Linked DNA regions of Cricetulus griseus. The protein of the gene in region 1 interacts with the protein of each later gene in a biochemical or structural test. Links are inferred from orthologs where the notes say so. Each region holds a gene or a part of one and is shown in the gene's direction. Other genes may lie near its edges. The genes, in order: Cdk2, Mybl2, microtubule-associated protein tau, Mcm3, protein NPAT, H1-5 and Wee1.

Region 1 (4,063 bases):
ACCAGAACTGATTTCAGGGTCTGGACGTTCCTTTTCTCAGCCCACCGCTCAATGACAGCTTCCGGCTTCACTGGGGTCACATTCACCCTGACACACACTTTCATTCTGAAAAGAGTTGACTGATGGGCAGCCACAACTCACGTACTGTACTTCACAGCCATTTCAGCAAGAGAGGGAAGCCATGAATTGAGTCAAAGCAAGCAACCCTCAAGACAGATACAAACACCTTTATCTAAAAGCTGTCCGAAGAGGCAGAGTGTACATTCCCAGCAATGAAGCAACAAAACCAACCAATGAACCACTAAAACAGTGAGACAGGATTAAGCTAGGCTGAGAAAGGACTTTGTTATCTAGCCTAAGAATCCTTTACAGTAAGAGCCCTGATCTTGTGCCTCTTACGATAGTACACGGAGGAAGTGCCAGACGATCTCTGCGAGTTCGAAGTCAACCTCAATTTTTATTTTATTTTTAACGCATTGCAGCCGGCCAGGCTGCAATATGAGATACTGTCTCAAAAAGGGGGTGGGAGTGCTGGAGAGACCGCTCAGGAGTTAAGAGCCTATGTAGCTCTTGCAGAAGATCAGAGCTGGGCTTCAGCGTCAGCTCACAACTGCCTATAACTTCAGCTCCAGACGATCTGCTGCTTCTGTGAAAAAAACACACACAGACACACACATAACTGATATATATATATATATATATATATATATATATTATATATATATATATATGATATGTATATATATATGATTTCCCAGGTTTCTGCTTTCCAAAGGAGGCTCTCCTGGCCAGCTAGAATTTAATTTCACTTAAGGGATGGTGAAAATTGTGAGCGGAAAGTAAGGAAACCCTTAGACCACAGACAACACCAGTTCCGGCCGCCGGAGCCCAAACCAGGAACTGCGGGAAAGTTGCGCTGCGGCCACTCGGCTCACCCGCCCAGGGCGGGGACTCGGCGGCGGGAGCGCGGAGCCCGGCCCGCCCTCGTGACGTTGACCAATCCCAAGGGTGGGAGGCGGAGCCAGGGAAACGCGGGAAGGAGGGGCGGGGCCTCGGCTGGCCGTCTGGAGCGGTGGGGGAGGCGGCAACATTGTTTCAAGTTGGATAAATTGTCAAGGGCTGAGCTTTGCTTGCGTTCCATCCAGAGCTGGGGCTGCGGTGCTCACCTTGGCCCCCAGGTCCTCCGCCCCGAGTGTTGGGCCCGCTTTCTTCAGGGTTCCCGGGCCCCGCTCCCGGGGGCCTGAGCCGCCGCACTAGTGCTCCATGGAGAACTTCCAAAAGGTGGAGAAGATCGGAGAGGGCACGTACGGAGTGGTGTACAAAGCCAAAAACAAGTTGACGGGAGAAGTGGTGGCGCTTAAGAAAATCCGGCTCGACACGTGAGTGGCCTCCGGAGCCGGAACTCCTTCCCCGGGACCTCTTGGCTGCCCCCCCCCAACCCCCTACCCCAACAGGCGGGTAGCCGTCCCGGACCGGACCGGAAGGTAGCGGGAGGGACTCCTGAAGTGAGGGGTGGGTTGGCGGACGGTAGACGCTCTCTCTCGGTGACTGTCCGAGGGCTAGAATTCAGAGAAAACTTTCTTCTCGTGCTCCACCCGGTGAGCTCCCAAATCTGCAAGCCGGGAGACTTGGGAAGAGAAAGTGGGGGGGATGGGGGGGGTGAGGTAGGGTCCAGGAGTGTTCATAGAGTTGGGTTATGTACGAACCAGGAGAATAATTCCTTTCTGAATGGAGAGCTGTCCCCCCTGCTCCAGCCCCATACTTAGAACCCTCACCCTCTTTCAAAAGAATGGCAGTTGAGACTCACTGGCCCTCTGGGGAGGCTGGGAGCTACTCTCACCCCCCTCCCCTATTACCTTTCCTCTGCTTCTCATTCACCTGGAGGCTCTACTTACCTTCCACTGGAAAAAGAGGAAATAATGACCTTGAATATGTCTAAAAGCCACACCCCAATTACCCAGGAATAACTACTGACAGTACCTTTCCTTTCTGACTTCCTAAGGGAGTTTTGGGGGGTGGTGTCTCCCTAAGAGAGTATGTTTGTAACCATATTCTCATCTGTGTTTTTCCAACCTCTCCAAGTGAAACTGAAGGTGTGCCCAGTACTGCCATCCGAGAGATCTCTCTGCTTAAGGAACTTAATCACCCTAATATTGTCAAGTAAGTGTAGTCTGAGAGATGACCACCAAGGTGAATTCTGTTTGTTTTAGCCTTAGAATTTCTCTCCCTCAACTGCATTTCCTGAACCTTCTCTTGCAGGCTGCTAGATGTCATCCACACGGAAAATAAGCTTTACTTGGTTTTTGAATTTCTGCACCAGGACCTCAAGAAATTTATGGATGCCTCTGCTGTCACTGGCATTCCTCTTCCCCTCATCAAGGTAACCTTCCTCAATTCCAGCTCAGGTATCTTGGGGAAATTAGAGGCAGGTAATTCAGACTGGTTATATTTTGGCTTGTTTCTCAGGCTTCAACACTCCCCGACCCCTTTTATTTGTGTCTGTTGGTCTCTTCCTGTTCATTATAGTCATTAGCCATAGGAAGGACCGAAGAATCATAACCAAGGTCCTGCGAGCCACCTAGACAGCTCAGGCAGATCAGATACCACTCAGAAAATGGGATTGAGGGTAGTTGGTGGGTTCCTCAAAAAAAAAAAAAAGTTCCACCTGTGATGTGGGAGACAACCAGAACTGTATTCACTCCTGGAGTTAATGAATATCAGCAGTTACATATTTGACACAGTTATTTAACACAGGCATGTGCTAGGCACAGGGTATTGAAAGGGATGCAAAAATTAAGTAATATCTGGTCTTTATCCTTGACAGGCTGAAAAATACAATGAAAGAAGTAGCTATTAAATGTGTGGTTGTGTTGTAAGGTGTGTTGGCTCATGATTGTAATCCTAACACTCAGGAGGCTGAGGCAGGAGGATGTCTGTAAGTACAAGGACACCCTGGCCGGGCGTTGGCGGCGCCTTTAATCCCAGCACTCAGGAGGCAGAGGCAGGTGGATCTCTGTGAGTTTGAGACCAGCCTGGTCTAAAAGAGCTAGTTCCAAGACAGCCTCCAAAGCCACAGAGAAACCCTGTCTTGAAAAACCAAAAAAAAAAAAAAAAAAAAAAAAAAGACAGCCTAGGCTACACTTGTAAGCCTATCCTACAGTTCCAGGCCAGGAAGGCACTATCATAAAAAACAAACAGGGCTGACAAGATAGCCCAGCAGGTAAAGGCACCTGCCTCCAAATCTGATGACCTGATGACCTGAACTCCATCCCCAGGTCCCACATAGTACAAGAAAACCAATTCCTGCAAGTTGTCCTGATTTCCTCGTTTGCACAGTGCCATGCCCCCCCATAAATAAGTAATAAGTAAATAAATAAATAAATAAATAAATATGCAATCTAAAGAATTAAACAAAATCCCCCAAAAATACGTAATGGAGTTATCATCTCACATGATTAAGGCTTTACTGCATTTTGAGGGCAAAGAGCAAGTTGTATCTGTTAACGGTGGTGACTGAACAAACCTTCCTCTCTCCTTTGTCAGAGCTATTTGTTCCAGCTGCTCCAGGGCCTAGCATTCTGCCATTCTCACCGGGTCCTGCACCGAGACCTTAAGCCCCAGAATCTGCTTATCAATGCAGAGGGGTCCATCAAGTTGGCAGACTTTGGACTAGCAAGAGCCTTTGGAGTCCCTGTTCGTACTTATACTCATGAGGTAGGTCCCCCTATGATTTTTCTTCTTTAAGAATCTTAGGGAGATGTTCATACCAGGGCAGGAGTTCCTTGGTAAATAGAATCTCTGACAACCCAAGGGTCTTTTTTTTTTTTTTTTTTTGGTTTTTTGAGACAGGGTTTCTCTGTGTAGCTTTGGAGCCTATCCTGACACTTGCTCTGGAGACCAGGCTGGCCTCGAACTCACAGAGATCCGCCTGCCTCTGCCTCCCAAGTGCTGGGATTAAAGGCGTGGCCACAAACACCCGGCTCAACCCAAGGGTCTTTACCTATTTATTTAAAGTGTCTGAGTAAAGTGCATGTATGTCTGTATTGCATGCCTGCCTGGTGCT
Region 2 (3,500 bases), on another chromosome or scaffold:
CCACAGCCCCAGACTCCACACCTGGAAGAGGACTTGAAGGAAGTGCTACGTTCTGAGGCTGGCATTGAGCTCATTGTTGAGGATGATGTGAGGCCTGAGAAGCAGAAGCGAAAGCCTGGGGTGAGTGGTTTGAGGACTCTCCCTCTGCCTAGGTAGTTGGCATAGAAAGAAAGTCAGCCCTGAGGTCAGGGAGGACCTGTGGAGTGCCTTACGGGGGTGAGCCTTTCAGAGGGCCCTGGCTTCTTAACCTGTCCGTCCTCCTCTGCTTAAAATGATGCACTCTCTCGTCCAACATTGTGAATGGACCTTCCGAAGTGGCTTAGGCGGGGGTGATGGGTGTGAAGTGGTCAGGGAGACTCCCAGAGCTCAGTGGATGGAGACAGGCATGCAGCACACACCTCGTGGCCATGGGAATTCCTGTGGGATGAGGGAGTATAGGGGGACACGGTGTTCCTTTCAGACGGTAGTCTAGAGTGAGCTAGGAAGAGAGCGGTGCCTTGGTCATGAAAGTAGGGTGTGGGGGGTTTCACAGGGCCACCTGGTGAGATGCCAGGCTGATGGTCTGCTTCCTTCCTGTTGCACTATCTAGCTCTTGTAGCCACAGGTGGCACTTCATATCTCTCCTTCCATTTGTGCTTTTCCCCCTAGACTGCTCTCCCTAGGGAGTGTTGATAGTCAAAGCTGGGCAGTGAGGCTGGGATGGACCCACAGTGTCTGGCAGGGTATTGACCACCTGGGTCAGAGTGTAATGTGGCCAAGGTCTCCTGGTCTTCCCATATCCCTGGAGTAAGAGCTACTGGCTATACCTTGAAGATTCTACTCTCGAAAGTCCTGATTCAGTGACTGTGGTCACTGAGGCATTGGCCATGGGGAACCCGATTGCCCACATTAACCATCCTTTTCTTCCCTAACCCTCAGCTGCGGCGAAGCCCTGTTAAGAAAGTCCGAAAGTCTCTGGCTCTTGACATTGTGGATGAAGATGGGAAGCTGATGTCCTCACTGCCCAAAGCTCTGTCCTTGGTAAGGGGCTGACAGTGACCACCTGCCTCACAGGTCTTTAGGAACCTTCTGCCTTTGGAGCTGTCTGATCATGGAGAGGACCCTTTAGATGGGGTGGGTTTCTGGTTCTCCAATTGGCCCCAGTGTTGGGAAGAATGTCAGGAAGTGGCAGGTCTGGGCACCCAGCCTGAGCCTCACTGAGAGTTCTGATGTGTCTTTCCTAGGTTTGATTTGGCAGGAGACACATTGCTAGAATGCTATGGGCCCCAAGCACCACCCTTCCCACTGAGTGTCAACCACATTTGCCCTAAGCACAGCGGGGTGTTTGAGGCACATCAACCCTGAGCAGCTATTGTCTGGCCTACAGGCCAGCCTTGCTCTTCTGGGCATAGAAGTCATTGCCTTTAAGAGCACAGGTGTGTTACTGGCTCCTTGCAGTAACACACCTGTGCTACTGGGAAATGGCCTGGCTTGACCTGGTGTATAAACTGGTGGTATGGCAGTTCCATTGTATGGTTAAGGGGGAGGTTTTTTATTGTGGATATGAGAGAGAGGGAAACAGTATAGACTGAATATGGACAGCAGACTAGACATGACCAGGACTATCTGTGAGAGAGGGGAGGATAGCAGGGCATAGAGATTAGAAAAACATAGAGAATAACAGGATTCTAAGGACAATGAATAGCTGCCAGGAGGGAACTGGGATTCTGGGGTAAAGGAGGAAGTGAAAAGGGCTTTGAAAAGTAGCAGGTACTTGAGATACTGAAGGAGCCTGGAGACCAGCATAAATAAGCTTTGATAGACTGATAGGCACCATGGGTAGCCATAGCTCTTCTGCCTGAGGTAAGGGAAATGACTCCTTTTGGTAGAGAGGAACCAGCTCCACAAGTTCCTGAGGAATGCTGGCTTTTATCTAACTGCCAGAAATCCTCCTATAGTCTAGGTTGAGCTCATCTTTTGGAGTTTGGGGAATTGGAATTTCTTTTGGACCTGACACCTGGCACCAGTAGAGAGGCAGTGAGTGAGTGAGGAGCGGGTGGGAGCATGGATGAGGACATGAATTGCTAAACAGATCTTATGGGTAGGGCTGTTGTCCTTCTAGAAAAGCTTTTTTTCCCCAGGGAACCCTGTCAGGTGGGGGACTTGCTCCCTTCAATCAGACCTTTGGCTGCCTCTACTTGAGGCACGACGTATTTTGTTCTGTTTTAAGCAGTGTTGGGGGTTGAGCCCAGGACCTCACCCACTCTGAGTGAAGTGAGGCCTGTGGAGATGAGCTGTGCTGTGGAGATGGGTGTGGGAAAGAATTAGCCTGTGAACTTGGCTTCTTGGCCCCCTAGCTCCAAGTGGAACATTATGAAGGCAAGCCAATGAGCAGAGCTTTATGGGCCCATGGCACATTTCACTTGATGCTTTTGAGTGTTTCAGGACCAGGAAGCCTGGAGCATGTGTGGCCTCACGTGACAGGAGCTGGCATTGCTGGGCTCTGAAACGATCAGTTCACAGATAATTCCTTTAATCCTATAAGTAAAAGGATTAAGGGTTCGTGTCTAAACTCCATATCTGAAAGGGAACTGAGGCTTAGAGGGCAAATATCCTGCTCCAGATCTCATCAGAAGGGATGGGGTGAAGGGGGGCGGGGGCAGTGCCAGGATACCAGGCTGTGTTTGTGTTTTGTTTTGTTTTCTCCTGGCAAAGATCTTGTGGCAAAGTAGTGACTAACTTGGTTTTGATTTCAGCCAACAAGTGTCCCATCCAGCTCCTCTAGCTTCACCCTGCCAGGCAGCAAAGAGGATAACAGCCTGCTCAACCAGGGGTTCCTGCAGGCCAAGCCTGAGAAGGTGGTGGCCACCCAGAAGTCTCGGGGCCACATTCCAGCCCCTGCCCCTGTGAGTCTTGCTATGAACGGGTCCTGCTGTCCTTTCACCCCAGGGCTACACTATTCTGATGTATTCCTGTGGCTGTGACTGCCTGATTAACTTCTAGGATCTTAGCCCAAGTGCTACTTCCTACAGGAAGCAATTGCTGACTTCACCTAAAGAGATGCCCCCATTTCTTCCTTCCTGAGGGCTGGGCTTTTAACCCCTCACTAGGTCATTACCTGTATTTGGTTTGCTGAGTGCTCTGTCTGTTGCTGACAGCAGTTAGTCCGGTCCCTTGTATCACAGTGTCCTCAGCCGCTCAGCTGTGGCTTCCCATGAGGCCATCAGGTGCTGCACACTTTTTCTTGTCTCAACTTCCTGCTTTACTGTTAAGCCCACAAATGAGGAGGCATGACTTCCCCAAAATCTCCAAAGAAAATGGAGGGAGCACAAACTGGCTTCCAGTATCCAGAGGGAGGGTCCTAGAAATGTCCCACCCTTACTAGCCAGGACCCACCACCAGGGTTTGTTACTGAGCTGACTCTCATCTCCTCCCAGATGACCAGCGCCTGGAAGATGGTGGCCTGTGGGGGCACCAAAGACCAGCTCTTCATGCAAGAGAAAGCCCGGCAGCTCCTGGGC
Region 3 (3,500 bases), on another chromosome or scaffold:
ATAGCAGGGAGGCTTATAGATGACAGAGGAGCTGAGAGATGGTGTCCTTCATAAGTGATGGATGATTTGTCCTCTGTTTCGTGATGAAGGACTCTGTCACTGACCTCTTGTTAAAATTTTTGAAGAAAAAGAGGAGGGCACAAGATGAGACATATTAACCATTTTATTATAGGCCCGGCAGAGTAGAGAGACTAAGAGAGAAGAGAAACAGGGTAAATGGCTGACCACCATGGCTGGTCGACGGAGAGAGAGAGACAGAGACAGAGACAGAGACAGAGATAAAAAGAAGAGTAGAGAGTAGAGAGCGAGTATAGAGAGAGTGAAGCAGGGAAGTTGGAACTTTTAAAGGCAAGACTATGTATGCACACTGAGGTGCCACGCATGCCCAGAGTCCTCACACAGGCTGTAAATGCGTGGTGGGTGATGTGGTGATAGCAGGTCCCTGTGCATGCCCTGACTGTTGTCAGGGGTCGGGGTCTGTCTCTTAAAGAGGTAGAGCCAATCAGCATTAAAGCCTGAACCTTTCACCTCTAGCCTAGTTCATCCCCCTTTAGGTGACTTGGACACTAGATTCCTGAGGAGGAGCTGGGGGAAACATTTTGTCAGGACCCTGTTTACCTTGTGCCCTTTCACCACTCCCTGTGAGTCCGTGTTTTAAAAAGGTTGGTCGGTTGGTTTGAGATAAGGTCCATGTAGCCCAAGCTGGCCTCCATTTGTACCTAAGGGTGACCTTGAACTTTTGATCCTCCTACATCTACCTTCTGTGTGCTAAGGTTGCAGATATGAGCCTTTTATGCAGTGCTGGGGATCGAACTCAGGGCTTGCTGTGTGCCAGGCAAGCCCTCTAATACCTGCGCTGCATCCTTTGATAGTCACTGAGTAGTTTACAGTACCCTGGAAACTGAAAAGAGGATTCTTCCAGCCCAGATCCTCCCACTGGGAGTTTTGATTATGCCTGGGTTCCTCATCAGTTCACATACACAGCAAAGTATGCTTACTGTGTGTGCTTACTGTGTGTGCTTACTGTGTGTGCTTACTGTGCATGTTTAGGGGCTCGACTCAACTTGAAGTCTTTAAAGGTCTTGTGGTACATCAGACTCCAGGACATCCCATTCAAAAATAATTTCTAGGGAGCATTTTCTTGAAGGTAGTAGAGGCCCAAGTCTGTTGGGTGGTATCATGGCTGGTAGCTGTCTCGGCCTCTGGTCCATGAGCCGGCTGGTCCTGAGTAGCCACACCTTGCTGGTTTCCCACTTCTGTCTTTGTTGCTGTCCATCCTTGAGACAGACCAAGGCCTGAGTAAGACACCTGATGAGTAGCTGTTCTATGTAGAATGCATTTATTGATCAGTTGTCATGTGACAGCCTTGACACTGGGACCATAAATAAATGTAACTGTGAACTCAACCTGGCATAAGGAAGGAGAGGGCCAGGCTGGAGTTGGGTCCTGTGATAGTGATCCAGCCACACTGAGTCCCACTGGGTTAGAGACAGAGATTTAGTGTCCATATTACTTGTGTGTGTCAAAAGTTACACATGGGTGTGGATACACATGCTCTCCCCTCTCCTTCCTTCCCCTTATCCAAATTTCTCTCCTGTGTCCCCAAAGCCCTTGAGATTATAGGTTTTGTTAGAAAACCGGAGAGTTGCTTGAGATATTTTGTTGGGACCTAGTAGGATGTTCAAAAAAGCTCAGAGTCACATAAGTATGGTGGCACATGCCTGTAATCTGAACACTTGGAAGCAGAGATCAGAGAATCAGAGATTCCAGGTCATCCTTGGCCTCATAGTGAGTTTGACACCAGCCTCAGGTACAGGAGACCCTGTCCCAAACAAAGCATCAAACAGAGCCAGAGTGCTGATTGAGGACCCCAGTGAGACTCAAGGGGACACCCCCATCCCTAACACACAGCCAGATACTCTGAAGAGGGTTTTATGTGAATATCACTTGACTGATCCAGGAAAAGGTGCTTAGACCGGTTGAGCTGGTGGGCAGTGTGTTGGGTGAGCAGTTAGAACAAGGGTCTCCACGCTCCTGCCTCACCTGAGGCAAAAGGCAGGCCATGAAGGCTGACCACAGAGCTACAAATGTCTGCAGTTCCATGTAGAGGAACCCATACACAGGTCAGTTAGCAAAGCTCTGTGCTGACAATCATAGCTTGTGAATTTTCCAAATCAGAGCAGGGCTGGAGGCTGGGTAACTCATGATGCCTACTGCTTTCACCTGCCCAGGAGAGAGAGAGAGAGAGAGAGAGAGAGAGAGAGAGAGAGAGAGAGAGAGAGAGAGAGAGAGGGACCACTTCATGATCCAGCCAAGGCCACCTGGAGCCCAGAATCTTCTGGGAGCTTGGGTTCTGTGAATGGTAGGTGAGCATGCATCAGATCCCATAATCACATGTTGGGTAGCCACAGAGATGCCAGCAGGCTCTGGACCAGCTGAATACCAGAGGGGACTCAGAGGTCACCAAGGAAAGAACACAGATGCCCAGAGAGGGTCATGCAGCAAGCTAGTGGCAGACAGATTGAGAGAACTTTTTTTTTTTTTTGGTTTGGTTTTTCGAGACAGGGTTTCTCTGTGTAGCTTTGGAGCCTATCCTGGCACTCGCTCTGGAGACCAGGCTGGCCTCGAACTCACAGAGATCCGCCTGCCTCTGCCTCCCGAGTGCTGGGATTAAAGGCGTGTGCCACCAACGCCCGGCTTTGGTTTTTTCTTTCTTTCTTTTTTCTTTTTTTTTTTTTTTTTTTTTTTTTTTTGGTCAGACCGAGAGAACTTTTATTCCAAGCTATGAGCCAGGCCCGAGATGGGTCCTGGTCCCTGTTGGGAGAGTCCTGGTACCTTTGAGGGGTCTTTTCTTATGGCAAGTACGAACTGTGGTCCCCCTTAAACAGTGTCTGTACCCTTGTTAACCATTGCCTCTTCAAGCCCTGAGGCTGTGAGGGTTCCCAGGCAGTAGAGAGAGCTGCCTGAGAGGTTCCTGAGCCAGAAACTTAATGTTCAAGTCCACAGAGCACAGGCGTTTCTGGCGTCTCCCTGTCACCTCTAGGTGAAAAACAGTCAGGTACTCCAGGCTTGTCAGTCACTCACTGTCCCCAGGAGCACCCCACCTGCCCAGTCCCCTCCTCCACCAGCTAGACCTCAGAAGCCCGTCCAGGAGTGGAGACCAGAGCCTGTCAAGGTGGGCCTGCCCATTCTGAAGCCCTCTTCTGCTGGATATCTCCACACAGAGTCAGAGAAGGTCGAAATTTTCCCAGAAAGTTTGCTTGGAGAGCCAGGGCGCCATGAAGGCCAGGCTCCAGACTCAGGGATCTCAGATTGGATCTGCCAACCGGTGCCTAACGTGTCTGAGGCTCCCCTCCTGCCACAAGGCCTCAAAGAGGCCACGTGCCAACCTTCGGGGACGAGACCTGAAGATGTGGAGAGAAGCCATCAGGCCTCTGAGCTACTGCAGCAAGAGTCACCTCAGAAGGAGGGATGGGGCAAAGACAGGCTTGAGAGTGAGG
Region 4 (3,500 bases), on another chromosome or scaffold:
CTTGAATTAGAACGTCTCATCTCCCAGCCCATGGTATTCTACATTAGTGCCTTCAAGCACTTGGAGATTTTCTTACCAAGATTGGTGTGGGTAGAAATTGCAGAAGCAAACTGCATACGGCACTGAAAAGTCTGTAATGGGAGACAAAGTACTAGAGAGTGATCCCTGTGCCTGCTCAGAGCTCTGCAGGTGGTCTGCAGCCTGGCATCGCATACAGCCTTCTACTGCCTAGGCCAGTCTCTTTACCCATATGGGAAGGCTGGGTAATGACAGGACCCATCTGAAGTCCCTGAAACTTAAAGCACGCACAGTGTGATTGATCAGGCCAATGGTCCTGTTCACATCGTAGCAGCTAGAAAAGACAATGGTTTTATTTTACTTACCACCCCTACAGTGAGCTAGCTACATACATGGTAGGGGTATGTCAGGCTCCTCCTTCTGTAAGTACACGACTCACAGAAACCTGTGCTCAGAGCTCCGCTTTGACAGATTCGGTTTTTGGTTCCCACGTCCTCATCTGTAAAGTACTTAGTTAAGAGGAGTGACAGAATGAGAACAGCTCCCCGTGCATTGTGGGCCTGCAGTGAGGAAGGATGGCTAATTTCCTCTTTCCTCTAACCTTCCTCTCTTCCTGAATACTCTCACTTGGTTGCTTTGGCCATTTTTCTTTGCTTTCTTCCTTTTTTTTTTTTTTTTTTTTTTTTTTTTTTTTTGGTTTTTGGAGACAGGGTTTCTCTGGAGCCTATCCTGGCACTCGCTCTGGAGACCAGGCTGGCCTCGAACTCACAGAGATCTGCCTGACTCTGCCTCCAGAGTGCTGGAATTCAAGGCGTGCGCCACCAATGCCCAGCTTGGCCATTTTTCTTAACTTTCTGAATTTTAAAAGGTAATTTCGTTTTTGACAGTTTCATGCATGTATAATGTGTTCTAATTACCCCTTATCTTACACCCTTATTTACCATCTTCTCTGCCTACCAGTGTCTAATGACTTTTGCTTTCCATTTAGTTTAACCAGGATTATCTGTGTGATTCTTACTATCCATCGGTACTTGGTGGGGTCACCAGTGGATAGCCATGAAAACAATGGTTCCCCCACTCCTTGAATCTACTGGTGACAAACAGTTCAGCAGTGAGTAGGGCCTCTCAAGTCCCTACCCATCTATGCCTTGCTTGCTGTCTGTCAATGGCCTAGTCTTGTGAAGACTAAGTCCAGGCATCCCCACATCGGCAGCTGATGTGAGTTTGTGGTCGCCTTGTGTCATGTCCTAAAGCCGGCATTTCACAGCTCTTCTGCCTGTGTTCCGATTCTTTTATTCTTTTTATTCTCTCCCCTTGTTCCATGCACCTGAAGAGATGATATAAGTGCCGTGTTTGGGATTGAGCACTTAACCGCCACATATTCTCAGCACCTTGGGTGGCCGTGAATCTTGGTTTTCTCTATTGCTCAATGGAGAGAGAAACTGATTTGACTGAGGGTGATGTTTGATGGGTACTGGTGACTATCTGAACTTTAAATGGCGCCCACTTGTCAAGAAGACACACACACCTTGGGCTTCCTGAACATTTCTGGTAATGCTTTAATTCTTTTCCTATTCAAAGAGACTGCTACATTTCCTTAGAAGTAATAAATTCCCTCATGCTTTCTTCCCTAGACATCTCCAGTTACAGCACGGACATTGGAAACTCTGATTCGACTGGCCACAGCCCATGCGAAGGCCCGTATGAGCAAGACTGTGGAACTACAGGATGCGGAGGAAGCCGTGGAGCTGGTTCAGTATGCTTACTTCAAGAAGGTGAGCCTTTAGGGAGTCCCTCAGAGGAGGCAGAAAGTAGAAGAGCCAGAGGGAATGGAGGACACCAGGAGAACAGGGGCCTCTAAATCAGCTGTGCATATGAACTCAGAGACTGCCTGAAAGCGGCAAGCACAGGGCCTACAAGGGTCTACACGAGGGTCTCTGCAGATATATTATCACTTTCAGTTTAGTATTTTTATGGGACTCCGAGTGTGTGAATGAGTAGTGGGTCTCTGATTTTAGTGCCTTTTCTTGGCCTCTTTTCCTTCTGTTGGTTTGCCTTGTCCAACTTGAATGTGATGGTCTTTGTTTTCTCTTATATCTTTATCATGTTTTGTTGTTATCTCTTAGAAGCCTGCTCTTTTCTAGTGAGAGACAGGAGGAGGGCAGGTGGATACGGGTGGGGGGGGGGTGGAGAGGAACTGGGAAGAGTAGAGAAAGGGGAACTAATCAGGACATATTGTGTGAGAAGAGATTTTATTTTTAATAAAGGGAGAGAAAATAAGAAAATGAGTCTTGTGTCTGTTGCCTGCTGCTCATCTGAAGAACTGTAGGCCTTGAAGGTTTAGAGTTATGGTTCTGCCATGCTTTTCCTGTTTATTTCTCTTTACAAAGTTGGAAGCGGTGTTAAATTTCAACTAAATACCTGGTCTATAAAGAAATGATTGTTCTCCCCTTAACCATATGGTTTGGACACCTCAAACATGTCTCTTTACTCAGTAAACATAGAGTATCTACTGTGTGAAAGGCCTCCAGCATTGGTGAGAGATGGCTATTAGACTTTCCCTGCCTCTGGTCCTGGGACGTAGACCCGAGAGGATAGAGATAAGTCTCAGACACTTGGAAATCAGGTTGCTTACTCAGTTTTGGCACCAGTGACATCCCTTGGCTTGTTTCTAGGTTCTGGAGAAGGAGAAGAAACGTAAGAAGCCAAGTGAGGATGAATCAGACTTGGAAGATGAAGAGGAGAAGAGCCAGGAAGACCCCGAGCAGAAGCGGAAGAGGTAGAGTGGGACATGGCTCTGTGGGGGGCGGGGTTACAGCTTGCTGGCACCAGTATCCTCCGGGCCCTGTAGGGTTTACAGATGATGGTAGTCAGGCACAGGAGAGGAGGGGAGAGCCTCTGTGACGTTCAATATGGTTTCCTATAAGGGATGCGGAATAGCAGAAGTGATGCCATCATTAGGTCTTCAAATGTTCTTGAGGCCGCTTTTCCCCTCCTACCTAATCATTTGTTAGAGCACTGGGCAGTGGGGTCTGGAGAATGTCTTACAGAAAATTTAGTGGTTTGTTCAGGCCTATGCCTGGTGTTGCAGTTTGCTTGTACATTGTTACATGTGCATGTGGCTCCCTGAAGCCTTCTCAGTTTCTTGGCTGCTATGGTTATTTCAGGAGGAAGACTGATGCCACGGATGGGGAGTCCTTTGACCCTTATAACTTCAGTGAAGCAGAGAAGGAAACGCCACAAGGTGAGTGAGCAATTCCTCGTGACCCGTCCAGCTGCAGTGTGTGCGGCCGTTCCTCAGGAGCTCCCACTGACTTCACGGGAGACCCTGTGACCAGGACCCGTGTCTCAGAGCCTTGGGACGCCACAGTGCAAACTTAGGAAAAAAGCTTGTCTCAGCCCTTGGCTTCCTCCTTTATTCTCTACGAACTTTCGTCATGCCTGCTGTGAGCATCGCAGAGATTGCACTGAGGGTCTCCTGC
Region 5 (3,500 bases), on another chromosome or scaffold:
CAGCAGCGCTGTATCTAGTATCGGTGGAGAAAACTTGCCAACGATAATTCTGTCTTCTAAATCTCCCGCCAAAAATGCAGAATTTGTTACATGCCTGTCTTCAGAAGAAACTGCGAGTGCTGTTGTATCTGTTGAAGTAGGGGATTCTGGCTCAATGGAGCAGAACCTTTTAGTACTCAAACCTGAGGAACCAGTAGTAAACAACCCTCAGAATGAAGATAGCATTGCATTTTCAGCCAGTGTTGCACCATGTGTTCCTAAGGATGGAGGATACATACAGTTGATGCCTGCCACAAGCACAGCCTTTGGCAATTCAAGTAACATTTTGATAGCTACCTGTGTGACTGATCCAACAACCTTGGGACCAACTGTCAGTCAATCTAATGTAGTGGTATTGCCTGGGAATTCTGCACCTATGACTGCACAGCCTCCTCCACAGCAATTACAGACACCACCAAAGTCTAACAGTGTATTTACTGTCAACCAAGCTGTGTCGCCAAACTTTTCACAAGGTAACTCTAAGAGCATATTGGAGGTGAGCTGGGGATATAGTTCATTGGAAAAGCACTTGTATAACATGTACAAGGCTGTGGACTCTATCTCCACCACTGAATGAAAAGAGATGCATGTATGTATGTGTGTATAATTTATATGTGTGTGTGCACACATATTTTGGAGCTTCTCTGGATTGCAATCTTAATTTTCTTGTGTGAAGTCACTGACTAGGTAATAATATAGATAGTTCCTATGACAAAATACTATACAAATAATTGCTTATGCATCTTTCTTGCTATCCAGTTCAGCCAGATTTTGTTTAAATCTGGTAGGCTGTAGCTTTATTTTTTTTTTTCTTTGCGAGTTTTTAATGTACAACACTAAGCTGTAAAAAAGAAAAAGCCTAATTCATTGCATACCTATATATATGCTTCAACTCGATCTAGCAGGGTATTTCTTTATTTTTACTTTAATCATGGTTCTTTTGCAGGATGGAGTTCAAGACAGGGTTTCTCTGTGTAGCCCTGGCTGTCCTGGAACTTTCTGTATAGATCAGGCTGGCCTCAAACTCAGAGATCCACTTGTTTGTCTCTGTCTCCCCAAGTACTGGGATTAAAGGCATGTGCTGCCACCTCCTGGCTCTAGTTTAGAGAGACTTTCAAGAAAACTTAAATTCTATAAAACCCATTCTAATTACTCATGTTCTGGTGCTATTTAGAAATGATTCAAGTTGGGGCTGGAGAGAGAGCTCAGTGGTTAAGAGCACTGGCTGCTCTTCTAGGGGACCAGGGTTCAGTTCCCAGCATCCACATGGCAGCTCACAGCTGTCCATAACTCCAGTTCCAGAGGATCTGACACCTTCACACCAATGCACATGAATAAAATTAAATAAATTTTTAAAAAGAGAGAAAAATAATTCAAGTCTTTAGAGACTTCCCCAAGGGCTCTTGTCTTCATTGTATGTTGCTTTACATACAGTTAACAATCGGCAAAATTATCATAGCAATCAAAGAATTCACACATATTCACCTACATTCCCATTGTACTGATATATAGACAATGAAATCTGATGAAATATTATCAACTAAGCATTAAATTTGGTGAATCTATTTCAAATGATGGAAAGGCCAGAATTGCTGAAGAATATGAAGCTTGCATTAAAACCTAGAGAAAAGAGGTAAGATTTGAAGCCAAGGGAAGTAGAATAAGTATTCCTGGATACTTGGCAGGTTTATGTGAAAATAAGATCTTACAGGGATAGTTAGCCTTTTAGGTAAAGGTGCATTTACTACCAGGACTAAGTTACTATAGCTTTTCTTGTGGTTGACTCCTAAGGACCATGTGGTCACTCTAATTTTCCCTAGGTAGATTAATCTGGTTACAAAAGTATGTTCTTTTTGCCCAGTACCATTAAGATATAATACATTGAGTAAATGGTTAAGGGCTATAAGTACTCTCTTGGAATCCAAGTTTTCTTCTATAAGTTCAAACAGAACAGTCACTACTCAGTTCCTAATTAGTTTCAGTCTTTGTTAGAATAATCAGTGTGTAATAGGATCTTCTAGCCAGAGAGTCTTGAGCTTAGGATAATATCACTAAATGCCCTACATCTTAATATTTAGATTTGCTTTGTTTTGAATTCTTAACTTTTATTACTATACTTGATCAAAAAAAAAATTGGGGGGGGGTGGAGATTTTCGAGGCAGGGTTTCTCTGTGTAGAACCCCTTTGGAGCCTGTCCTGGAACTAGCTCTTGTGGTTACTATTTTTGTGATGAAAACACCATTACCAAAAGCAACTTTGGTGGGGTAAAGGGTTTATTTCACTTACAGTTCCATATAGTAGTTCATCATCAAAAGCAATGAGGGCTGAAACTCAAGGCAGGGACCTGGCGTCAGGAATTGATGCAGAGGACATAGAGGGGTGTTGCTTACTAGTGACCCCCACCCTGGCTTGCTTATCTTGACTTGCTCAGTCTGCTCAGGAATGGCACCACCCACAATGGGTTGGACCGTCCCACATCAGTTACTAACAAAATGCCTACAGGCTTGCCAATCTTAAAGAGGCAGTTTCTCAATTGAGGTTCTGTCCTTTCAGATAACTAGCTTGTGTCAAGTTGACATACAACTAGTCCGCACAATAGACCCATTATCACCTTGACACACAAACACATCACTGTTAAGCCATAACCTTTCTTTTCTTATACTTCCCAAAGATCACACATCAACATTACAATATAATCATTCCAAAATTTTAAAGTCCCATAGTCTTTAAAAATAGATTCTCTTAGGGTCGGAGAAATGGCTCAGTGGTTAAGAACACTAGCTGTTCTACCAGAGGGACCCAGGTTCAATTCCCAGCACCCACATGGCAACTCCCAACTGTCTGTAACTCCAGTTCTAGGGGCTATGACACCCTCGTGAATATATATACAGGCAAAACACCAATACACATAAGTTTTTTAAAAAATAATAATAATTCATTCTCTTTAAAATAGGCAATCTTTTAAAATCTGGACTTTTAAAATTCAGTGTTTGAATTGTATGCTCCTATCAAATCAAAAAATAGTTACTTCAGGAGGGAAGAACCAGGGCGTAGTCATAATCTGAACAAAGCAAAACCAAACTTACAATATTAATCATTCAATGTCCAGTGTCGGAGATTCACTCACAATCTTCTGGGCTCCTCCAAAGTGACCCAAAAGGCTTAGGTCTCTTCTCAGGCTCTGCCCTCTGCAGCACACGTAGCTTGTCTTCTAGACTATGGCTGGCTCCACTCCACCACTGCTGCTATTCTGAGTGGTCATCCTATATTGTTGGCATCTCCAAAACTGCTGGGGTCCCTTGCTGCAACTGAGCTGCACTTTCAATGATAGCCTCTCCTGGGCTTCTTCAGGGACTCCAGTCTTGCCATACAGTGCCAAGCCTCGGTTGCTCTCCATGACCCCTTCATGCCTTCAAAACCAGTACCAGCTGGGTGACTCTTAGACTACCAACATTGGCAAC
Region 6 (2,612 bases), on another chromosome or scaffold:
AGCCTGTGTTACCTTTCACCATAGTAAGCTTCACCTTCTCTCCTAGAGCAAACTTCACCACCCCCTTTCTCTTTCCATTGCTTTATTTTTCTCAAATTCTTTGAAACTCTAATTGCCAGGCCCTTAATAATATTCTAAAATATTGCCCATCTTGGCATCTCAATATACAAAAAATACCCATATTGGCATTGACTACTTAAGAGCATGCCTGATTGTCCTGCTTGCTAAATGTTCTGAAATTCTCACTGGTCATCTCAACCAACTACATTTGAGGACTGGAGGGTCACTCTAATAATTTCCTGAAAGTTTTAAAATTTTCCTCACGCAAATTATCTTTAGTTAGTATTTTCTGTCTTCAGATACCATTAGCAACTAACAAAAGCAAGTCAGATCCATATCTAATTTATTTTGACTTAGAAGTAAATTGGTTTGCCTCTGAAGGTAGTGACTTCTTTTTAAATATTTGAGTTACTTTTTAAAGCTTTATGTGTATGAGGTTTTGTCTCCATGTGTATATGTGCACCACTTACTTGCCTGATAATCCGGAGAATTGAGAAGAAAGCCTGAGATACTCCGGGGCTGGAGTTACAGACAGTTGCAAGCTGCCCTGTGAGTGCTGGGAAACTAAAGCAGACCTGCAAGAGCAGTAGCTGCTCTTACCTGCCAATCCATTGCCACAACTCTTAAAGTCAATGATTTCTAAACTCCCGACTTCAAAGAAGAAAGTTTCACAATGGAAAAATTTTCAATCTCCATTAAAGATAGCAATGTGCAGAAAGTACGAGAAGCCGGACCTATTTTAAAGAGAAATATCTAAAATGTTTAATTTCAGTCTGCCGCCAGCCAAACCTGTGTTATTTGCTACAGTCAGAAACAAAGTTTGTGACCAAACCAAAAAAGATATTTCTTTTACTCTTGCAAAAATTAAAGGCGGGACTTGTGGACAAATCCTTTTAAGTAATGTTCCTTGCATACTTCGTATACGTTTATGGAAATATGCAAGTAACTATCAGGATGTCCTCTCCTTTGAGGATTCTTCTGAAACACTGGAGGGATTTAAAAAAAAATATCTTTAGTCTGTTGATTGTGATTCAAAAAAAGCACACATAGGTATGTGAACCCGAAGGCTGTTCTCCTTTGGAACACCAAACTGCCAATTTCTGCGCCCTTATTTTCAGTAGTAAGTAAAAATTTGGGGACTAACAAACACAATTTGGGATTCTAACCTTGTTTCGCGCGGCCAAAGGGCGGTGGATTGGACGCTCCACCAATCACAGCGCAGCTCTGGCTTATATAAGCCCGGAGTCGGAGCTAAGGAGCACAGCAAAATTTGCTCTTTGAGTTAGTTTTCCTTTGCTTTTATTGTAGCTTACAATCTCGCCATGTCTGAAACTGCTCCTGCCGAAACTGCTGCTCCGGCTCCTGTGGAGAAGTCTCCCGCAAAGAAGAAGGCGACCAAAAAGGCTGGCGCAACGAAGCGCAAGGCCACCGGTCCCCCGGTGTCCGAGCTCATCACCAAGGCTGTGTCTGCCTCTAAGGAGCGCAGTGGCGTGTCCCTGGCCGCGCTCAAGAAGGCTTTGGCTGCAGGTGGCTACGACGTGGAGAAGAACAACAGCCGCATCAAGCTGGGGCTCAAGAGCCTGGTGAGCAAGGGCACCCTGGTGCAGACCAAGGGCACCGGCGCCTCCGGCTCCTTCAAGCTCAACAAGAAGGCGGCTTCCGGCGAGGCCAAGCCCAAAGCCAAGAAGGCAGGCGCCGCCAAGGCTAAGAAGCCTTCAGGTTCCACCCCGAAAAAGCCTAAGAAGGCTGCGGGGGCCAAGAAGACCGTGAAGAAAACTCCAAAGAAAGCAAAGAAGCCTGCGGCCGCTGGAGTGAAGAAAGTGGCCAAGAGCCCTAAGAAGGCCAAGGCAGCTAAGCCTAAGAAGGCAGCCAAGAGCCCGGCAAAGCCCAAGGCTGTGAAGCCAAAGGCAGCCAAGCCTAAAGTTGCCAAGCCTAAGACAGCTAAGCCTAAAGCTGCTAAGGCGAAGAAGGCTGTTTCTAAAAAGAAGTAGGTTTGCTTCTAATAGCAACCAAGCCCCAAAGGCTCTTTTCAGAGCCACCCAGAGAGCTCGGTGAATGTAGCTGTACACTGACCTAACCCTCTAAGTCCCGCCAACTACCTGAACCATCTGGGTGCCACAGTGGAATTCAGGTAACACTAGCACGGAGTACTCCTGCCCTCACGTACTGCTGAGTAGTTGCCATGTCCACGCGGGCACCCGCCTTTTTCCTCACTGTGCGCGCTCCCCCCCCCCCCCCCGGCTAATCCTCCCACTCCCATCCCGGACTAGTAGGTCTTGTCCTTTGCGCGCGTCTATCTTTACCCTCTGTTCTGTGAACACATTGTTCGTCAGGAATGTAGCTCTCCAGAGTTCACTTAGACTGCAGTTAGCTTTTCATAACTGAAAAATCAACGCGCGGCGCGAAAAGAGGCCGAATTGATTGGCTGTACATAATCGTATTTCCTAACCCAGTTGCATCATGGTTTTGTACCAACCTTGCCTCGATTGGACAGCCAGTCGATGACGTTTGGAGAGTCACTCCACTCAATTGCCGCAACTCATTTACAGCTA
Region 7 (2,872 bases), on another chromosome or scaffold:
TGTGCACTGCTTTGGATACCAGGGTAGCTGGCCTGTGAACTCCTGGAAGTTTCTTGTGTCTGCCTCCCATCTTGAGGGATTTCTGAGTTTGCAAACTTGTGCTCTTTTGTTGGCTTTTGCATGGGTTCTGGGGATCTGAACTCTGGTCCTTACTCTTGATAAAATCAAACACTTTTATCAATTGAGCCATCTCCATAATCCTCTTTTTGAGTGTTTGCCTTAATGTAAATATACCATGTATATGATTGGTGCCCAAAGAGGCTAGAAACATCCCCAGGGACTTAAGTAGCAAGTAGTTGTGAGCTACTATGTGCATGAACTTTGGTCCTCGGCAAGAGAAGCAAGCATCTCTCCAGCCCATGTTTATATATTTTGAGACAGGATTTCATGTATCTCAGGTATCCTTCCTTGAACTTGCTGTGTAGCCCAGACAGCTCAGGATTCTGCTGCCTCTACCCTGAGTCCTAGGATTACAGGCATGTGTTGCCTGTAGTTATAGATACCAAGCCAGGGCTTTGTGCATGTTAGGTGAGTACTCCACTGAGCTACTGTACTTTTCTAATACATCTAGGTGATCTTGGACATGTGACAAGAATCTCTAGTCCACAAGTTGAAGAAGGTGATAGTCGATTTCTAGCAAATGAAGTTTTACAAGAGGTAATTTATTTCTCCTTGATTTATAGTATTTGCTTTGTACCACTTAAGCAATTGACAGAAGACTGCATTCAAATATGTTGAAAATTAAGCAACTTAGTAGACTAAAAGTAGAAAATCTAAACCATCACCCAGGGATATTTAATCCGGCAAGGATTCTGATGGCATAGTAAGTTGTTCTTTACCCTGCGAATGGAGCTTCAAAGTTGCATGGCCTTTCTAGAGACCAGACTGTCACTATATTGATATTTAAAATTCACATTTCTATTGACCCAGGATTTTTAGCTCCAGAAGTTTTTCCTATACAAATGATCATGTATAGAGAACAATGTGAAAATGTTGTATTTACTAGGGAAATGAAAGGTAGATTATGACATAGGGTGTCACATAAAGTCTAATTATTTAGTCTCCTTGCTCTTCTCTCCATGCACATTGTCTGCATATGCATCCCCAAAGGCATGATACGTGCTTCTGAGCATGTCATTGGGCAACTGATAAAGCAGCATCTATTTTTAGATGTGTATTTAACCCCCTCTCTAAGTTTATTATTTGTAATTAAAAAAAAAAATAACCATCTTCCTAAATTTAGCAGCTTATTTTCTGAATGGATGCTTAAATGTGGCATTGGAAAGGTTTCTAATGTGAATTTACATAGACCATCATGGTGTGTTATATTTTATTTTGACCACTATCTTATTTTTTTCCTCTTTTAAATTTTACAGAACTATAGCCATCTCCCGAAAGCAGATATTTTTGCTCTTGCTCTCACAGTCATATGTGCTGCTGGTGCTGAACCTCTTCCCAGAAATGGAGACCAATGGCATGAAATCAGGCAGGGTCGATTACCTCGGATTCCACAAGTACTTTCCCAGGAGTTGACAGAGTTGCTAAAAGTGAGTGTTTTTTATGTGAAGCACTCTGTTAACACCTCAACATTTTACTAAGTAGTAGTCTTTTTTGTTTGGTTGGGTTTTTTTAGAGACAGGACCTATGTATCTCTAGCTGTCCTGGGAACTTTGTAGACCAGGCTAGCTTCAAACTCAAAATATCTGCCTGCCTCTACCTCCTGAGTGCTGGGACCTAAAGGCGTGCACAACACCTGGTCATAAGTAGTAGTTTTTTTTCTGATTTTTCAAGACTGGGTTTTTTCATTTCTCTGTGCAGCCCTGACTATCCTGCAATTCACGCTGTACACTAGACTAGACTTGAACTCTGCCTCTGCCTCCTGAGTGCTGGGATTAAAGGCATGTTCCTCCACCAGGCAGTAGTGGTGCATGCCTGTAATCCCATCAGTTAGGAGGCAGAATTAGACCCATCTCAGTGAGTTCAATGCCAGTCTGATCTACAAAAGCAACTTCCTGGACAACCAGGACTGCTACACAGAGAAACCGTGTCTTGGGTTGGAGAGGGTGGGGGAGTGGGGAAGGCATGTGCCTCCATGCCCAGTAGTAGTGTGTAACCACAATTTTGACTTTCTTTCTCAGGTTATGATTCATCCTGATCCAGAAAGAAGGCCTTCAGCAATGGTGCTGGTGAAGCATTCAGTGTTGCTGTCTGCATCTAGAAAGAGTGCAGAGCAGTTACGAATAGAATTGAATGCTGAAAAATTCAAAAATTCTCTTTTGCAGAAGTAAGGAGGTTTTTTTTTTTAATTTTTACTCTCATTTTCATTGATTCTCAAATTTTGAGAGATCATTTAGGGTTTTTGTCAAACTTTGTAATTATGTACTTTATGAGTATTAAGTGGGGTTGGGGTAGTGGTTCAGTTGGTAAGGTTTTCCCCCATAAACATGAGGGCCTGAAATTGTAAAAAGTTTATTACTAGCCCACTTGTGAAAATCTGGGCACATAGTTTTTGTTTTTGTTTTTGTTTTTGTTTTTGTTTTTGTTTTTGCAAAATAAGAACTCTTTATTTTAAATTAGTTATATAGCTATGAACTGAGTAATAGTATTAACTACCACCTTACATTTGAGCCAACAATACTCTTGTGTCTGTGATCTCAGCACTGGAGAGACAGAAACAGCTCTACTGAATCATCAAGTCCTAGATTTGAGCCCTAGAAAGCTGGATGTTGGTGGCTCACGCCTTTAATCCCAGCACTTGGGAGGCAGAGGCAGGCGGATCTCTGTGAGTTCGAGACCAGCCTGGTCTACAAGAGCTAGTTCCAGGATAGGCTCCAAAGCCACAGAGAAACCCTGTCTGGAAAAAACAAAAAAC

Evidence for each region.
Region 2: of the proteins of Cdk2 (region 1) and Mybl2, one has a biochemical effect on the other in vitro, tested with the Homo sapiens proteins (3 studies listed by BioGRID). The link is inferred for Cricetulus griseus from reciprocal best matches to the Homo sapiens genes CDK2 and MYBL2.
Region 3: of the proteins of Cdk2 (region 1) and microtubule-associated protein tau, one has a biochemical effect on the other in vitro, tested with the Homo sapiens proteins (2 studies listed by BioGRID). The link is inferred for Cricetulus griseus from reciprocal best matches to the Homo sapiens genes CDK2 and MAPT.
Region 4: the proteins of Cdk2 (region 1) and Mcm3 form a complex in vitro, tested with the Homo sapiens proteins (2 studies listed by BioGRID and IntAct, with this or other methods). The link is inferred for Cricetulus griseus from reciprocal best matches to the Homo sapiens genes CDK2 and MCM3.
Region 5: of the proteins of Cdk2 (region 1) and protein NPAT, one has a biochemical effect on the other in vitro, tested with the Homo sapiens proteins (2 studies listed by BioGRID, with this or other methods). The link is inferred for Cricetulus griseus from reciprocal best matches to the Homo sapiens genes CDK2 and NPAT.
Region 6: of the proteins of Cdk2 (region 1) and H1-5, one has a biochemical effect on the other in vitro, tested with the Homo sapiens proteins (15 studies listed by BioGRID). The link is inferred for Cricetulus griseus from reciprocal best matches to the Homo sapiens genes CDK2 and H1-5.
Region 7: of the proteins of Cdk2 (region 1) and Wee1, one has a biochemical effect on the other in vitro, tested with the Homo sapiens proteins (3 studies listed by BioGRID, with this or other methods). The link is inferred for Cricetulus griseus from reciprocal best matches to the Homo sapiens genes CDK2 and WEE1.

The regions. Positions count from the first base shown.
Region 1 is NW_023276806.1:129,199,410-129,203,472, forward strand, and holds the start of Cdk2 (cyclin-dependent kinase 2), read left to right. Parts: upstream 1-1,263; coding exon 1,264-1,379; intron 1,380-2,082; coding exon 2,083-2,160; intron 2,161-2,259; coding exon 2,260-2,380; intron 2,381-3,543; coding exon 3,544-3,714; intron 3,715-4,063. UniProt on the Homo sapiens protein: Serine/threonine-protein kinase involved in the control of the cell cycle; essential for meiosis, but dispensable for mitosis. Phosphorylates CABLES1, CTNNB1, CDK2AP2, ERCC6, NBN, USP37, p53/TP53, NPM1, CDK7, RB1, BRCA2, MYC, NPAT, EZH2.
Region 2 is NC_048599.1:16,439,242-16,442,741, reverse strand, and holds part of Mybl2 (myb-related protein B), read left to right. Parts: intron 1-6; coding exon 7-120; intron 121-918; coding exon 919-1,020; intron 1,021-2,735; coding exon 2,736-2,885; intron 2,886-3,416; coding exon 3,417-3,500. UniProt on the Homo sapiens protein: Transcription factor involved in the regulation of cell survival, proliferation, and differentiation. Transactivates the expression of the CLU gene.
Region 3 is NC_048600.1:117,328,253-117,331,752, forward strand, and holds part of microtubule-associated protein tau, read left to right. Parts: intron 1-3,224; coding exon 3,225-3,500. UniProt on the Homo sapiens protein: Promotes microtubule assembly and stability, and might be involved in the establishment and maintenance of neuronal polarity.
Region 4 is NW_023276807.1:25,181,539-25,185,038, forward strand, and holds part of Mcm3 (DNA replication licensing factor MCM3), read left to right. Parts: intron 1-1,652; coding exon 1,653-1,793; intron 1,794-2,693; coding exon 2,694-2,797; intron 2,798-3,185; coding exon 3,186-3,262; intron 3,263-3,500. UniProt on the Homo sapiens protein: Acts as a component of the MCM2-7 complex (MCM complex) which is the replicative helicase essential for 'once per cell cycle' DNA replication initiation and elongation in eukaryotic cells.
Region 5 is NC_048597.1:165,283,363-165,286,862, forward strand, and holds part of protein NPAT, read left to right. Parts: coding exon 1-512; intron 513-3,500. UniProt on the Homo sapiens protein: Required for progression through the G1 and S phases of the cell cycle and for S phase entry. Activates transcription of the histone H2A, histone H2B, histone H3 and histone H4 genes in conjunction with MIZF.
Region 6 is NC_048596.1:244,136,036-244,138,647, reverse strand, and holds H1-5 (histone H1.5), read left to right. Parts: upstream 1-1,310; 5' UTR 1,311-1,382; coding exon 1,383-2,051; 3' UTR 2,052-2,112; downstream 2,113-2,612. UniProt on the Homo sapiens protein: Histone H1 protein binds to linker DNA between nucleosomes forming the macromolecular structure known as the chromatin fiber. Histones H1 are necessary for the condensation of nucleosome chains into higher-order structured fibers.
Region 7 is NC_048596.1:90,563,126-90,565,997, reverse strand, and holds part of Wee1 (wee1-like protein kinase), read left to right. Parts: intron 1-571; coding exon 572-657; intron 658-1,376; coding exon 1,377-1,547; intron 1,548-2,138; coding exon 2,139-2,284; intron 2,285-2,872. UniProt on the Homo sapiens protein: Acts as a negative regulator of entry into mitosis (G2 to M transition) by protecting the nucleus from cytoplasmically activated cyclin B1-complexed CDK1 before the onset of mitosis by mediating phosphorylation of CDK1 on 'Tyr-15'.